3 linked regions of the Schizosaccharomyces pombe genome follow. The main gene of each other region encodes a partner of the protein of the gene in region 2 in a complex. Each region holds a gene or a part of one and is shown on either strand. Other genes may lie near its edges. A codon is read from its position in the direction of its gene.

The links.
Region 1: the proteins of rpb2 (region 2) and rpb9 are in contact, whole or in part, in a crystal structure (PDB 3H0G), measured with the Schizosaccharomyces pombe proteins. Residues at the interface, in NP_593101.2 of Schizosaccharomyces pombe: Lys212 (codon at 3,542), Tyr221 (codon at 3,515), Pro279 (codon at 3,341), Asp280 (codon at 3,338), Arg281 (codon at 3,335), Leu284 (codon at 3,326), Phe294 (codon at 3,296), Gln295 (codon at 3,293), Lys301 (codon at 3,275), Ile304 (codon at 3,266), Phe308 (codon at 3,254), Gln311 (codon at 3,245), Leu376 (codon at 3,050), Glu377 (codon at 3,047), Arg378 (codon at 3,044), Arg379 (codon at 3,041), Glu380 (codon at 3,038), Arg603 (codon at 2,369), Ile605 (codon at 2,363), Arg606 (codon at 2,360), Glu683 (codon at 2,129), Val685 (codon at 2,123), Met686 (codon at 2,120), His723 (codon at 2,009), His725 (codon at 2,003); in NP_594705.1 of Schizosaccharomyces pombe: Asn3 (codon at 1,769), Phe4 (codon at 1,772), Tyr6 (codon at 1,778), Asn11 (codon at 1,793), Asn12 (codon at 1,796), Met13 (codon at 1,799), Tyr15 (codon at 1,872), Arg30 (codon at 1,917), Asn31 (codon at 1,920), Tyr44 (codon at 2,082), Glu47 (codon at 2,091), Gln49 (codon at 2,097), Asn52 (codon at 2,106), Asp61 (codon at 2,175), Thr64 (codon at 2,184), Asp65 (codon at 2,187), Pro66 (codon at 2,190), Thr67 (codon at 2,193), Leu68 (codon at 2,196), Pro69 (codon at 2,199), Arg70 (codon at 2,202), Ser71 (codon at 2,205), Asp72 (codon at 2,208), Glu82 (codon at 2,238), Phe85 (codon at 2,247), His89 (codon at 2,259), Ser90 (codon at 2,262), Arg91 (codon at 2,265), Arg92 (codon at 2,268).
Region 3: the proteins of rpb2 (region 2) and rpb3 are in contact, whole or in part, in a crystal structure (PDB 3H0G), measured with the Schizosaccharomyces pombe proteins. Residues at the interface, in NP_593101.2 of Schizosaccharomyces pombe: Gln775 (codon at 1,853), Tyr786 (codon at 1,820), Tyr787 (codon at 1,817), Ala833 (codon at 1,679), Asp836 (codon at 1,670), Arg837 (codon at 1,667), Gly838 (codon at 1,664), Arg841 (codon at 1,655), Ile843 (codon at 1,649), Arg893 (codon at 1,499), Ile937 (codon at 1,367), Arg958 (codon at 1,304), Ser959 (codon at 1,301), Thr960 (codon at 1,298), Arg984 (codon at 1,226), His985 (codon at 1,223), Glu986 (codon at 1,220), Asp987 (codon at 1,217), Phe990 (codon at 1,208), Ala992 (codon at 1,202), Gln993 (codon at 1,199), Gly994 (codon at 1,196), Arg1049 (codon at 1,031), Gly1052 (codon at 1,022), Phe1053 (codon at 1,019), Gln1054 (codon at 1,016), Ser1055 (codon at 1,013), Arg1056 (codon at 1,010), Phe1058 (codon at 1,004), Glu1059 (codon at 1,001); in NP_588324.1 of Schizosaccharomyces pombe: Leu26 (codon at 1,728), Asn30 (codon at 1,782), Arg33 (codon at 1,791), Arg34 (codon at 1,794), Leu37 (codon at 1,803), Ala38 (codon at 1,806), Val56 (codon at 1,906), Pro58 (codon at 1,912), Asp59 (codon at 1,915), Glu60 (codon at 1,918), Phe61 (codon at 1,921), His64 (codon at 1,930), Arg65 (codon at 1,933), Met68 (codon at 1,942), Lys166 (codon at 2,236), His168 (codon at 2,242), Ala169 (codon at 2,245), Ala176 (codon at 2,266), Val177 (codon at 2,269), Ala178 (codon at 2,272), Phe179 (codon at 2,275), Glu180 (codon at 2,278), Tyr181 (codon at 2,281), Asp182 (codon at 2,284), Trp184 (codon at 2,290), Asn185 (codon at 2,293), His189 (codon at 2,305), Thr190 (codon at 2,308), Asp191 (codon at 2,311), Tyr192 (codon at 2,314).

Annotation. Positions count from the first base shown.
Region 1 is NC_003424.3:4,750,842-4,754,094, reverse strand, and holds rpb9 (DNA-directed RNA polymerase II complex TFIIS subunit Rpb9), read left to right. Parts: upstream 1-1,689; 5' UTR 1,690-1,762; coding exon 1,763-1,803; exon of another isoform or gene 1,804-1,870; coding exon 1,871-1,937; exon of another isoform or gene 1,938-2,060; coding exon 2,061-2,110; exon of another isoform or gene 2,111-2,152; coding exon 2,153-2,285; exon of another isoform or gene 2,286-2,360; coding exon 2,361-2,411; 3' UTR 2,412-2,705; downstream 2,706-3,253. Other genes in the region: pro3 (delta-1-pyrroline-5-carboxylate reductase), read right to left, coding at 453-1,301; mid2 (septin ring organizing protein), read left to right, coding at 2,836-3,253. UniProt on the Schizosaccharomyces pombe protein: DNA-dependent RNA polymerase catalyzes the transcription of DNA into RNA using the four ribonucleoside triphosphates as substrates. Component of RNA polymerase II which synthesizes mRNA precursors and many functional non-coding RNAs.
Region 2 is NC_003424.3:848,958-854,888, reverse strand, and holds rpb2 (DNA-directed RNA polymerase II complex subunit Rpb2), read right to left. Parts: upstream 4,254-5,931; 5' UTR 4,214-4,253; coding exon 4,198-4,213; exon of another isoform or gene 4,160-4,197; coding exon 543-4,159; 3' UTR 504-542; downstream 1-503. Other genes in the region: ferrichrome synthetase Sib1, read left to right, coding at 1-366; rps802 (40S ribosomal protein eS8), read right to left, coding at 4,767-5,369; sst1 (calcium permease), read left to right, coding at 5,913-5,931. UniProt on the Schizosaccharomyces pombe protein: DNA-dependent RNA polymerase catalyzes the transcription of DNA into RNA using the four ribonucleoside triphosphates as substrates. Second largest component of RNA polymerase II which synthesizes mRNA precursors and many functional non-coding RNAs.
Region 3 is NC_003421.2:1,782,349-1,788,631, reverse strand, and holds rpb3 (DNA-directed RNA polymerase II complex subunit Rpb3), read left to right. Parts: upstream 1-1,633; 5' UTR 1,634-1,652; coding exon 1,653-1,732; exon of another isoform or gene 1,733-1,774; coding exon 1,775-1,824; exon of another isoform or gene 1,825-1,870; coding exon 1,871-2,634; 3' UTR 2,635-3,193; coding exon of another isoform or gene 3,194-4,657; 3' UTR 4,658-4,840; coding exon of another isoform or gene 4,841-4,846; 3' UTR 4,847-5,735; downstream 5,736-6,283. Other genes in the region: SPOM_SPCC1442.11C (uncharacterized protein), read left to right, coding at 82-630; mrp49 (mitochondrial 54S ribosomal protein mL61), read right to left, coding at 754-1,021, 1,203-1,342; trp3 (anthranilate synthase component I), read right to left, coding at 3,194-4,657, 4,841-4,846. UniProt on the Schizosaccharomyces pombe protein: DNA-dependent RNA polymerase catalyzes the transcription of DNA into RNA using the four ribonucleoside triphosphates as substrates. Component of RNA polymerase II which synthesizes mRNA precursors and many functional non-coding RNAs.

The sequences.
Region 1 (3,253 bases), 3.9 Mb from region 2:
CAATTAAGTATTTTTAATAAAAAAAAGTAGAGTCGAATTAAGGATAAAAATTTAAAATACGGGAGCTGTTTATGGTGGTGATTTTGTTTACATCGGTACGACTATGACAATGTTAAAATAATCAAAACATAGTACGTTTCTTCAATATTGAATACCTTTAGCTAAATTCACTACGATAGCAATCGCAATGAAATGGGTTTAATTGCATACAACGTTCTAAAAAGTTAATGAAATATAATCTCGCTGTTCGAATACGCATATTATTAGTAATGTAACAGAATTGCAAGCTTAAACAGAGGAATCATTGAATGAAACTAAGTCACAACGCTTTAATACAACTAGATAACGAAACTAGCTTTAAAGAGGAAACAGAAGTACTAACCCAAGAATTTTATATACAAATCCATGTTTGGAACCAGGATATTTAATAGCACAAAATGAATTTGCTAGTATCATTTACCCAGGCCAGAAGCAGTCTTGGTTGCTTGTTCTATACCACGTGCGATTGTGCTTCGAATTTTTCCATCTTCCAATGCCAACAAACCACTAATTGTACATCCGGCAGGAGTTGAAACATCATTACGAATCATAGCAGGATGTTGACCTTGTAAAACCATACGACCTGTACCAACCATAGTTTGGGCAGCCAATTCCTGAGCCTGAGGGAACGGAATACCCATCATTACACCACCATCTGTCATAGCCTCAATCATAGTAGCAACAAAAGCAGGTCCACTTCCACATACAGCGGTAGCAGCATCAATAAGCTTTTCGGGAAGTTTCATTGAACGTCCAATGCCATTGAATACCCATTCAGCAAACTTTATGTCTTCTTCAGTTGCGTTGGGTCCCGGGCAAATTACGCTCATACTTTCACGGATTCGACTAGCAGTATTGGGCATAATGCGAATCACCCTAGTACTTTCATCAAGCATACTTTGCAATGAAGAGATGGTCTTGCCAGCCAAAATTGACAAAATTAATTTTCCTTTGAGCGCTTCTTTCATCTTTGGGGAATTCAAAACATCCTCTGCGGCCTGAGGCTTACAACTCAACAACAAAACGTTACTAATCGCAGCCATCTCGGCATTCTCTTTGGCCCCCATTACAACTTTAACACGATCTCCGAAAAGCTTTTGAACATCCTCTTTTTCTTTAGGAAATTTGACACAAGCATAGAACTTATTCGGAATGATAATTTCGTCAGAAACATCGTTTCCATTTTCAGCAATGGAATCAAAGATTCCAGTCAAAAGTGCTTTTCCCATTGTACCACAACCAAGAACACAAAACCCCGACATTTTTTAAAGTTATGCTTAAAAATGTTTAACTATTTTTGTAGTCTTCTTTTAAAGCGAAAATAAATTCGACTAAAGCATATGCTAAGGGATCGTTAATTCCAAAATCAAACTCATACTGTAAATTACCGTTTTACTCGCTGATGTGCATAATGTAAGATACTGAAGTATGATGTTACAAGTTTGTAGGACTAGTCCATGTTTGAATAATGCTACACGTTAAAGTCAATATATCTTCTATATAATTAGTAATATTAAGTATATCGCAAATAAATTTTAAAGCAGCTACACAGTTTTTAACGAAATCTTGTAGAGACGTTGTAGATAAACAAAAGCTTTTTCGAACTTATAGATGTGAACCATCAGGACGCTGTTGTCCACTGTATTTTCCATATCCACTAACCACCACGTTCTTTTGAAAGTTTATTGCGTTGAAGTAAAATACTTTTGTTTGCTTTTTTAAAATGTCAAATTTTCAATATTGTATAGAATGCAATAATATGCTGTACGGATTAGTTTCTCAAAAAGATGACACTGAAAATTGTTTGAAAACACTAACATGAAATAAATAGGTACCCTAGAGAGGATAAAGTGGATCGTGTTCTGAGGCTAGCTTGTCGTAATTGTGATTACTCAGAGGTAAGCTTGTTTTTTTCTCCTACTGGGTTTATTCACTTCAAGAAAAAAATTCGAAGTTCTTTTCGATTACTTTTTTCCTCATCATTTGGAAGTTTTAAATATCTCATCAGCTAATTTGTATAGATCGCTGCTACTAGTAAAGTTTATCGCCATGAGTTACAAAGCTCCAATGTGTAAGTTAGATTTCATCCTTCGAATAATCACTAAATTTGTAGAGAAAACACGACGGTCAGTCACGACGCTTCAACGGACCCTACTTTACCTAGATCAGACAAAGAATGCCCGCGTTGTCATCAACATGAAGCAGTTTTTTATCAGACTCATTCTCGTCGGGGTGATACTATGATGGTGTGTTTCGCATTGTTTCATTGAGAAAACAATTTTAATATTTAGGTTTAAAAACAATTTTACTGACTTAATTAGACTCTGATTTATGTTTGCGTACATTGTGGATTTGCTTTTGAAGAACAGTAATATGCGACAATTCGGTCTAACAAGGGATTGTAAAACTAGCTGCGTCCACCAATGGCTCTTAGACTTCGGTTTAAATGATCCGCTTGATGTAACCACTCTCTCGCTTCTGTGCTGGAAAACTGGATTTTCGAGTGATACCAGCCACCTTTGCCGAAAATGGATTTACCAGCCTCTCAATCATATGCTCGCCTCCTTCCTTTATATTAAGCAACGCGCCTACCAAAACACTTGAATTTCTTTATTTCACATTCGGTGTACCTTCTGGAATATACTGAAACTGTTTCAGTTATTTGTATACAATAATCCATACGGAATAGCCTTGTAATCCGAATACCAATTAAATAAAAACCCTTAATTCTTTGTGCCTTTATTTTTTTTTATATTCTAATTTCAGCAGAGCTGTTAAATTCCAAGGCTTTCCATAATGTTGATGACTGCTTCTCAACAGGATCAGCATGCTAAAATGTATTTAGCTGACATCCATAGAGCATTGAGAATTCCTTCTCCCATCCCAAGTACTGATTACGAATGTTCTGACTATGCCTCTACAATCGCATCGATATCTCGAGAAAGTACAATGAGAAATTTTAATCGCAGTAACATCTCGTCTACGGCCCCTTCTTTTGCTGAATCTGAGGATGCTGAAGATGGCGATAGTTTCCCTTATGATCAAACGTTATCAAATTCTTCCAGTTTTGATGATCATCAGTCTCTTCTTCCTTTTTCTACAGAAGTTCGTAGGACCCCAACTTACTCTGTCATGAATGAAACGGATAGTAGTAGTACAAGTGTTGAAGACGTAAACAAAGAGAACATACTGTCATTGAACGATTCATGTTTGA
Region 2 (5,931 bases):
CAGTCTTTTTTGAATGAGATTTCGGGAAACCTACAATACATATCTTTGCTGGATCTCCCTGTTCATGGCATGATGGATATCGCAGTAAATTTCTTGTCAACTGGTGATAACAATGAACCAAGTAAAGTTTTCAGCGTATACCCGTTGAAACTCAACAATGCGGAACTAAAGATTAACGAAGTTGAAACCACCATTGATGGTTGTGAAATTTTGTTTGGAAACAAACCCAAGTTAGATTTTGAGTTGGCAATTCGAGATGGTTACCTCGAAATTGGTCTTTTCTGCCAATCGTCTATATTTTCCAAAAGAGAAGCCAGTGTTTTTATAAACAATTTTGTTACAATTATTAAGGAAATTGAACTTTAAATTGAAGCCGAAATTAGGTAACAACTACATTATTATTATATAAATAATATATATATCTGTTAGAACACAATTTAAGTAGCTTATGTAAATAAATGATAGCTTCTTTAAGATCACACCGATCATCCTTCTGTATGTTCATGCTATGTTTATGTATTAATTTATTCAAATAAGCAAAACTACTTATGGTTTTTAGTAAATAACCGCGGTGCAATATTCATCGACATCAATTCTTGGAATAAAAGCTTGGCAGCATACGGTAAATAAACTTGACTAAACCGAGTACGATTTTGACATGATCGGCATTCATATGAGTCTTTTTTGTAACTGGCGATCGCTATCAAACCACAAATATCGCATACTATAACTCGGTACGCATCAGAACAATCAAACAAACGTTCTCGTAATACACTACTACAACCATGAGAAATTTGGCAATCACGTTCCATTTCTCCAAAACGAAGGCCACCATCTCTAGATCTGCCTTCAACGGGTTGACGAGTCAAAATTTGCACAGGTCCTCTAGCACGAGCGTGAATTTTATCGTCCACCAAATGCTTTAGACGCTGATAGTATGTGGGACCAAGAAAAACTTGGGCAACAAGCTTCCTACCAGTATGACCATGGTACATAACTTCAAATCCTCTCGACTGAAAGCCATGTGAACGTAACAGCTTAGAAACCGCTTCAACCGTAACGTCTGTAAAAGGTGTGGCATCACCTTCAAAACCAGATAAAGCAGAAACCTTGCTAAGTTGACATTCGACTAAATGAGCAACTGTCATACGAGACGGAATGGCGTGTGGATTAATGATGATATCAGGAACAATTCCTTGTGCAGAAAATGGCATATCTTCATGACGATATGTCATTCCAATGGTACCTTTTTGACCATGCCTTGACGCGAATTTGTCACCAATTTGGGGTATACGAGTACTTCGCATTCTAACTTTAACAAATTTTAAGCCTTCTTGGTTAGTGGTGACCATTACTTGGTCAACAATACCGCTTTCAGTGCTTCTCAAAGGAGTGGAAACGTCACGCTTTGCATGTAACTGAGTACGTTGACCTAATTCTTCATGATCTAGGGGAATTGGAGCTGTTTTACCAATAATAATATCTTCGCCTGACACTCGAGTGCCAGGAGCAATTAAACCATCATCCTCAAGCTTGTCGTACGTACCGTGTTTCATCCTTAGGGTTGTAGACCGGACCGGCCGTTCAAACTCCTCCATAACAGTCATGCCAATTTTCTTTTCTTGGTCCGTGTACGTTCTGTAGAAAATACTGCGGAATAATCCTCGATCAATACTAGCTTGATTCATAATAATGGAGTCTTCTTGGTTATAGCCACTATAACATAGAATGGCGACAATAGCATTCTGGCCAGCAGGAAGTTCACGGAACTTTAGGTACTCCATCGATCGAGTAGTCGCCAACGGCTTCTGTGGATAGTATAGGATATTTGCCATGGTATCCATTCGTACTTGGTAGTTTGTAAGATAAACTCCCATAGCCTGTTTACCCATTGCAGATTGATAAGTATTACGAGGTGATTGATTATGATCAGGAAAAGGGATAATACTAGCAAGGATGCCAAGAATCATCGCAGGATGTATTTCACAATGGGTCCAAGCATGCACATGAGGATTAGGAGCTGGCTTAACTCTTTGTGCAGGATCCAGTTCTTCCTTAACTTCATACCCAGCTTGCATTTGACGTGATGCTTCAAGATCTTCCGGACTCATTGCTATCATAACCGTCTCCTCTTCTTCTGCATCTAGATACTCAATGAGACCACTAGATACTAAAGCGGTCCATCCAAAGCGTTGTTCGGGGTCAATGTCATATCTGTCTTTATCCTCTATTAGTTGTTGGATATGCTCTTTACGAATACATAACTCTCCTCTTCTTTCACTATTAGGATTGTTATCCACAATAAATAATGGTCTACAAATACGACCTGCATCTGTAAAGAGACGAAGCTCTTTTTCACGGATATCGCGAACGATACTAACCTCTGCAGATATGTCCAATCTACGACGAAGGCTGCGTAGCGTCTCTGTTAAATGAGCTGGATCACGATGTACTCCTAACCACACACCATTCACGAAGACCTTTGTTGCATTAGGAGACGCTGAAGGGTTGTAATCTTCCAGTGTTTCTAAACCCCATTCTTCTAAAAACTCGATAATTGGAGCACTGGGTGAACCTACGGAAACATAGCTCATTAGAGACAAATTTTTGACTAAGCCGCAAGCTTGTCCTTCTGGTGTTTCAGCAGGGCAAACCATACCCCAGTGTGTGTTGTGCAACTGACGGGGTTTAGCCAATTTTCCGTCTCTACCGATAGGAGTATTTGTACGTCTTAAATGTGATAAAGTTGAAGCGAATGTATATCGGTTAAGAACTTGTGATACACCAACCCGATTAACCATACTGCGTTTTTGGTCTCCCCAATTACCAGTAGCCAATGAATAACGTAAACCATTGGTAATAATGTTTGACTTCACAGCCAGGGTAAGGTTGAATTCACGATTTGTTTCAACGCATTTCTGCATATACTTATACACATCGCGAGTCATTTTACGAAAGAGCATACGGAACAGAGATGCAAGTAATGGACCTGCAAGGTCAAGACGCTTTTTCCCGAAATGATCTCGATCATCTGGTTCACGACGCTCTAACGCACACAAAAGCATACGATGGATCATGTAACCTAAGAAAAACGCCTTTCTAGTCTCAAAACCTTCCATTGTAGTAATATGCGGAAGCAGCTCTTTCTGTAAAATGTCATGGGCATATCGAAGACGTTTTTCACGCGTAACACCAGTAGTACTGCCTCTTTTACCAATGTAATCCAAAGCTATATCTTTATCTTGAATCACAAATGCTTCTTCGATACAGGGCTTCATCATTTCAAGCATTTGGAAATCATTTGGGTCGTAGCATATATGTTCCAAAATATCACGATCAGGTACAACTCCAAGAGCACGGAACACGATGACGATAGGAATGTCACTCCTGATATATGGAAGTGTTGCTCTAATTGTCTGACCAGAATTCTCAGTATTACGTGCCATTAACTTAATCTGCATAGAAGAAATAAGCCTACTACCTCGTTCCAAAGCAGAGCGAATTTCAGCAACGTAAGCGATGGGGCTCGGAGCGGCTTTTTTAAATACTTGTACAATATTGGCAGCAGATCTCTCTTGAGCAATGATTACCTTTTCAGAGCCATTGATAATAAAGTATCCTCCCTGATCATAAGGGCACTCATTCAAATCGTACAATTCAGAATCACTAACACCATTTAAAATGCAAAAAGTAGAACGGAGCATGATTGGTATCTTTCCAATAAAAACTTTTGAGGGTTCTTCATCCTCTTCTTCAACAAGCCACTCCTCTTCGCCGATGGGAACATTAGAATCGGCAGCAACCATAACTTTTTTACGCATGTCAACGTATAAAGGAGACGAGTAAGTCAAGTTACGAAGCCTCGCCTCTTGAGGAAACATAGTAGTTGTACTACCATCAGCTTCAGTCATTGTAGGCCTTGAAAGATAAATCTGTCCAAAATTTATTTCGTATCGACGTGTAACATCTCCTTGAGCACCCGTGTGTTGTGCATATTGATCTAGAGTTAAAGTGGAATCATCATCAACAATTTCTTGCATAGTATTTTGAACAAACTCATCGAAAGAGAACAATTGTTGCCGAGCTAACGACGTTTCCTCAAAAAACGACGAGATCACGGTCCAACAATCCTCCTGAGTCAATGTCTCATTGTATTGATCTATTATGGTGTTAAAAATGACTTTATTAGTAACTTACAATCCTCATAAGACATTGTTGTTGAAATGGCACACGCAACAGGATATGTTGGCGGTGAGGAAGAGGAATAAATGTTGAGGCTACCGTAACAAGGATATCGTACCGTAGTGGCAATTCGACTTTGTGTTCAGTAAAAAAGTCTTTAAGCATCAAAAAAAGAACCAGTTTTTTTATATCTTTTACTTGTTTTAATCATTCAATATAGCTAAGGTACGTGAAAGGCCATTTTCCTTTCAAAGCAATTCGCAACTCTTTCATTATGTGTAAAAGGCTACTTAGCGTGAATTTTTATTAAAAAGGTAAAGGCTTCACTAAACGTAGTTCAATGAGATTTAGTAAAGAAATCATATCTAATAGCACATAAACGAATTTCAATTACTGATTGGGACAAATGGAGAGATTACTAAACATTTAGCAGACACTTTTCTAAATGCCAATAATAAAAATTACCTTCTCTACATAATTAACGACCTTGGTTACTGATAATAATCAACAATACAGGTGAAATACAACAATCTCGGAATCCTTTTATTCCTTCCTTTATGAACTAATTTATTGAAGAAACAACCTTATTTCTTAGGAGCCATACGACGAAGGTAGAAATGTAACTCTTCACCTTCAAGGATGTAGCCGTCGCAACGACCAGATTGACCAGGGCGAGAGGAAACTACAGCATACAAACGGCCAGCAGCAAACTGAGTTTCCAAAGCGGAATCAACCTTAGAATCGCCAAGACGAGCGCTATGCTTACGTTGAACATGCTTGGATTTGGGAGTAGGTGTAGCAGTGGCCTTCTTACCCTTGCTTCCCATCAAAATACCGTAGTGAGTTTCATACCAAACACGGAAAGGAGCGGCATCAATTTGGACGATGGCCGACTTGGTCAAAGTGTTGGTACGAACCAACTCGTTGTTAGAAGGGTGGTAGGCGACTTGAATGATACGAGTCTTCTTGGAAACACCTTCAGAGCCCCAAGAGAAGTTACCAGAGTCAAGACGAAGAGCACGGAACTTCTTGTTTCCACCACGAACACGAACCTCATGGATACGCTTAGGTCCAATACGAGTGTTGGAAGGTTGACGACCCAACTCGAATTTTCTCTTCTTACGGTATTGAGCACGCTTAGCACCGGTAGCAGAGCGCTTGTGGCGGGAATCTCTCGTAATACCCATCCTGATCCTTTTGCAGAAAGAGATTTGCTGTGGTTACGATGAACTAGTATATAACACAGTAACTGAAATTGTTTGGGTTTGGCTGTGACTGTTATTTTTGTTTCATACTACTACTAATACTTTGTACTTAACGAAATTCGGTGTATTCTTACAAAAACCGATACCGTAAGTTAGCGTATTATCGCTTAGCTCTACATTTAGTAAACTGTACAACGATGCTCGGCTCTGATTAAGCTCAATTCATCCCGACAATCTTTAACGAAGTAAACATTGTATGCTCATTAACGAACTAATGGGAGGACTTCGATATTGTAGAATTGGCGTTCTTTTTTTCAATTTGGTATTCTGATTATGATATGCGTAATAGAAAATGATCGCAACCTTTCCAATCATGCCTTCCTTTCTCACTATTCCTTCAACAATTTTTTATAAATACCTATTTACTCAATCCTCTTAGCTACGTACAGGTGTTTTAAGGGATAGAATATTTGGCGAGGGTTTGATTCGGAAAAGTAATCATTGTGACAATTACTACCGCCTACAATGTCTCAACCTGCTGATA
Region 3 (6,283 bases), on a different chromosome or scaffold from region 2:
TTTTTTTGTACAATTTCTCTTAATAAGATAAAGTTAGATAACATCTTCTGTTCAGTTAAACTTTGAATCGTTTACAAGTACATGCTCATCGTTAACAGAAACCCGAAGAGTTTGGTAAGAGGATATTGTAAAAAAGATATTGTACTTCGTAATTTAGATGGTTGGCTATTTGATATGATCACAATTTCAACCATTTTTAAACTCTACAATCAAATTTGTTCACTTTCCTCCACTGACCGAAAAAAAACCTCAATATCTAATAAACTGCAGCAGGAATTTTGCATTATGGATATAAACAAAGTTGGCAGAAATTTTATTTCTTTAGGAAAAATACGATCAAGTAAGAGGAGAAACGCTATTTTGTCATACCAAACGATCATTAGTTCATTCCCTCATAATCATGTACAAAAACTTTTTCAAAGAACTCAATCAACAAATATGATTTATACCAAGTTAGAATATTTCGGTCATTCTTTGTTCTTTTATTTTACGGCATTTACGCTCTCGTTCAAGGATAGAAAAATCTTAATGCAAGCCGATGTATTTTTTAGACTAAAGCTCGTATTCAAGATAGCATTCTTTTTCACTCAAACAACTTTTTTAAATAAAAAAGAAAATAGGGAATTGTAGGTTTATGGATCATCAAACAAAGGAATACAGTAAACGGACTGCAGCAAAACTAAAGGTTTTTTAGAAAAAAAAAAGATGCATATTTTGTTCACTGAAAAAAAGTAATTTTAAAAGCGTTTTTGCTTAATTAGAAGGAGGTGAATAATCTTGTTTGTGCGCTTCCTTAATGTTTTCCGGGGATGACTCGTGATGAAGTTCTTTAAGCGCTTTTTGAATATCGGAAGAAATTGTTTCCAGCTGTTTTGACCGCATGTCGTACGAATAGATTACTTTGTTGTTTGAGATAATGGAAAATGTTGGAGTTTGATCGTTCGGTAAACGGTGATTAACGTTAAACTTCAAGCCGTAATTGTTGTAATACAATGAAGGAAGACATTCTTTTACAAATTTTCTAGAATTTAAAACGTTAGCAATGAACAACGCATGAAACGGAATCGTAGATCAGTGCTTCCTCACACAAAGTATTATCAAGCAGTTATTTGAGAGAATTAAACATGAATTGAGCATAAAATGTTTGAGGTACCAGTACATAGACAACATCGATGATTCTAACACGAATAAACAAAACTTACTTAGCACCCATATGTCCCAAACGGCTGTCTAAAGAATATTGAATAGATACTTCCTGAATATGTTTTGGTAAAGGAATCCCTAAAGCTCCAGCACGAATCTTGTGCAAAGATTTTTGTAATTTACCGCCTATGCTAGACATGGCGAAAATGTAAAGTTGTAGTAATAATCAGCCAAACAAAAATGAAAGAGTTTGAAACAATATGTTTTTATTCAAATATTCTGTCGGGATGAACAGAGAATATAAATATTAATGAATTAAGCCTAATGCCGTAGATTCGTACTCTCTTGTCAATTGTTGCTTGCTCTCTTTAAAAGCGAGTTCCTTGATCTCGCATTTAACGTAGTTTAGTGTGTCCTTATGCTAAATAAGGGATCACCTAACAGTGCGGAATGGGAGAAATGAGTATGAAATTCTGCAACAAGCATAGACCAAACGACACATTCTCATTATGGATTCAGAAACGCATATTACGATACGAAATATAAGTAAAAACTCGGTGGATTTTGTCCTTACAAATACAAGTTTGGCGTAAGTGAAAAGCTCTAGGAAATTCCTTCTAATAGTTGAAAGAGTTGCAAACTCGCTGCGACGTGTTGTACTTGCAGAGATTCCAACAGTGGGTAAGATTTAGGTTCATTCTTGAATTAAATACTAATGATGTTTTAGCCATTGACCTAGTTGAAATTAATGTGAATACCTCAGTCATGCCTGATGAGTTTCTAGCACATCGTCTTGGTATGATACCTCTGGATAGCTCCAACATCGATGAACCGCCTCCAGTAGGTTTGGAATATACGCGCAATTGCGATTGCGATCAGTATTGTCCCAAGTGTTCAGTCGAGTTGTTCCTAAATGCCAAATGTACTGGTGAGGGTACGATGGAAATTTATGCTAGAGATCTTGTTGTTTCTTCTAACTCTTCTCTTGGACACCCTATTCTCGCCGATCCAAAATCACGCGGACCGCTTATTTGCAAACTCAGAAAAGAGCAGGAAATTTCTCTGCGTTGCATTGCCAAGAAGGGTATAGCTAAAGAACATGCTAAGTGGTCACCTACTTCAGCTGTTGCATTTGAATACGATCCATGGAACAAGTTACAGCATACTGATTACTGGTTTGAGAATGATGCAGATGCAGAGTGGCCAAAAAGCAAAAATGCCGATTGGGAAGAACCACCGCGGGAAGGCGAACCATTCAACTTCCAAGAGGAACCGCGTCGGTTTTATATGGATGTCGAAAGTGTCGGTTCTATACCACCCAATGAAATAATGGTTCAAGGTTTACGAATTCTTCAGGAAAAGCTTGCAGTTTTAGTTCGTGATCTCGACGAAGAGCAGCCTACTCAACTTTCTGCTAACGAACTGAATATGGAGGAGAATGCAGAAATGAACTGGTCTCCCTATCAAAATGGTGAAGAAAACACGTGGTAGACTATGCTTCAATTCTTTTCTAAAAATTATCCATTTTCATCCTTTATATGTTTGTTGTTATAAAAAATACTCTAGATGCGTTTTTTTAATCATCTAAAAGTTTTTAATTTATGGCCTGCGTCCGTTCATGTCATACCTTACACATTTTTATCTAATCCTTTTTTTTTTGGCTTTTGGCTACAACATATTGTACGTATTGATATGCATATATAGAGATATATATTCCTCCCTCATATCATAATTTTGTTCTTCTTCACTTGGATTTATTATAGCTTTAGATAATTTCGTGAAAGAGAACACTTTCGGAATTGTCGTTTTGATATCTTTTTAATTTTCGGTGATTGCCTCTTGAACTCTTTGTTGGAAAGTTTATATCGGCTCACCATGCTCACAATGAATAGACAAAGTTGCTACAAGTGGACAACGAGATTACAGAATACAATTTTTTATAACGATGTTTTATTCGTTTACCAAAAATAAAGACAACAAAAAAGTTTTTAAAAACCTCAACACTTTAAAATAACATGTACAACGAGAACCGAAAGCGTCTCCTTTACTTTTATGCTGAAGAGTTTTCTTCTTCAGCGTATAATTTTTCGGTTTCCTCAATTGCAGTAACATTTGAACGTAGTTTGTTTAAAGTTTCCACGTACTCATCTTGTTCATCTGAATCAAACACAATACCACCACCGGCTTGCAAATAAACAGTTCCGTCTTTATAAACCATTGTACGGATTGCTATACAAGTATCCATGTTGTCATCTTCATAGCCCCAACGACCTACGGCTCCCGCGTATATACCACGCTTTTCTTTCTCTAATCCATAAACGAGCTGAATTGCACGGACTTTGGGAGACCCACTGACCGTTCCAGCCGGAAATATACTACGGAATGCATCAAAACGAGTTTTATCAGGTCTCAGAACACCAGAAACTTGAGAAACAAGATGCTGAACATGAGAAAACTTTTCAATAGTCATCAACTTGTCAACACTTGTTGTGTCGAGATCACAGACACGACTGACATCGTTTCTTGCCAAGTCCACCAGCATTACATGTTCAGCTCTATCCTTGACACTAGCAAGTAAATCCTTGGCATATGCCTCATCCTCTTCTTTAGTTTTTCCTCTTGGAACAGTTCCGGCAATGGGATGATTGATAATACGCCCATGCTCTGATTTAACCAGTAATTCAGGGGAAGCACCGATTATGTCGAAATCATCACAGTGGATGTAGAACATATAAGGGGACGGGTTAACTGTTCTTAAATGGCGGTACAAATTAAAAGGATGTAAATCTGTACGCCTAGCAATCCGTTGGCTTGGGACAGCTTGGAAAATATCGCCATTAAAGATATGTTCCTTGAGGTTGGAAACAAATGCTTTATACCCGTCTTCGCCTACATTTGACTTAGCTTCGTATCCTAAATGGACCTTCTTTTGCTCAGGCAAAGGAATTTCAGGACTTTCAAGTTTCTTTTTAAGCATATTGATTTTGAAAACGGCAGCTTCGTAAGCCTCTTCAATGGGTCGGCCTTGCTGAATGCAAACATGAGAAATTATCTTGACAGTCTGATAAGCATGATCGAAAGCGACTAAATCGTCGGTCATGAAAAACATAGCCTCCGGAAGACCCAAGGTATCTTCTAAAGGCATTTCAGTAGTGGGTTCAAAATATTTGATGCAATCATAAGAAACATAGCCCACAGCACCTCCACTGAAAGATGGCAGACCCTCAACAGGGGCTGTTTTAACTTCTTTCAACTCACGTTCTAAACGTGCCAAAGGATCTGTTTTTCCATTGGCCATTAATATTCTATAAGGGCTGCCAATAAAACTGTATCTTGAGACACTCTCTCCTTGAGTGACACTTTCTAAAATAAACGAATACTTCTTTCCTTGATTAAGCTTCAAGTAGGCTACTGAAGGAGTCAGCATATCGGCAGGGATTACTCCATAAATGGGAATCTTGTTAGCCTTGTGCTTTTCAGCAAGCTCTTGAACTTGTTTCAAGTCAGGATAAATCTAAAATAGTATTAGTATCATGTATTAATTTTAAGCTTCATAGCCCTAGAAACGGCGACTTTTACAGTTAAAAGCAATACAACAAAGGAAAGACCCAATCCTAAACTCGTCAATATATCCCAATACTACTATTTATTTTCCATAGGTTGGGTCTCCTTGTTAGAACAAAAAAAATCAAATTACCTTCATCTTATTGACAAGTCTATACTCGAATAAGTGCAAATTCAATAGCAAACCAAAAAAATCCCTTAAACTTGAACCGATCTATTTCCAGAAAGACAAGCAATTCCAAATTTTTCTGTAAGCGAAGAAAGAAAACAAAAGAACCAATTAATTCAACAACGTAAAGCTGCTGGAAGAAGACAACTTGTGAAAGTTGGAAAATTCATCTAAATTAGATGAAAAATATAACGGATGCGTTGGAAAACGTTATATGGTTAAATGTAAATAAAAGACTGGAAATAGGAATTAGGAAGTTATATTTAACTGCGGACAAACCGATAAAAGTATTTTGTTTTAGGATAAGATTTATTTTTTTCCTAAGCTCTTAGGCAAATTCTTAAAATGGCCAAAGTTTCGTCGAACATAAACTGCAATCTAGTTAAGATCTTGATTTCTTTTTTTTTTATTTTATTTATCTAGTCTCCTTGGTTTGATTTAAAAATGTTAAAAATAAAAGGCATTCGTTTAGATGAAAAGGGTGTGTATGTTAGCTAGAAAGTTGCAGACCTGAATAGAGGAGAAGACACTGTGTAAAAGTCCTCTACAAAATCTATGAAATTTCGTGAATCATGCGCTTATAATATTCAGAAATTGAAAAGAGGAACAACGATTATAACGAAAGAGAACTAAGAGGATTTAGGCGTTGGAATTGGTATAAGAGAATACATGACTCGCTATTAGGGCAATTCAGAATAATGTTATATTTATGCTAACAAATTTATAAATTTAATAGAGTCGACTACCCTTAGGATTTGAAGTGCGTCTTATACCGAAACGATCGAAGTGAATTAAAGTGATTGCTTGTTTAAGTGCAATTGAACAGTCAAGGCTAGTCATCTATAAATCTGAACAGTTCAACTTAATAAGCAAAAAGTAATGTTATTCGATCAAGGATTTTTCGTCTTGTGAATGATCTTGCAAGTTAATAAAAACGGAGATGAAACTCTCGAACGTATAAAAACAATCAATCGCTGGTTAAATTCAATCTTTTAGCAAAAAAGGATTTTAATTGTATAATGTATTCAATCGGGAAAAGCAAAAGAGGGTCTTTCACGCGGCACTATTTTTTTGCCTGAAAATAAATAAGTAAATAGAACAGTATCCTAAAAACAGTTTATTCAAATCCTTTTTAAACGAGTATAGGAATCTTGTTTGTTATATATTGGATCTCTGTCAGTTCAAATTCATGTTATTAAGTAGAATAAATACCTCTTTCACTTCACTCAATAAACGCAGATGCAAAAAGAAAATAGGAAAAATAGTATAGGATAAAGGTAAGATCGCACTGTTATTAAACAGTTATTTTACTTCTACAGTGTTGATTCCTCATGATTTCAAGTTAAGATATTGTCGTACAAAATCCCGATTCGGGGAATTGAGCTTCACTTAGATTGCAAGCAACGG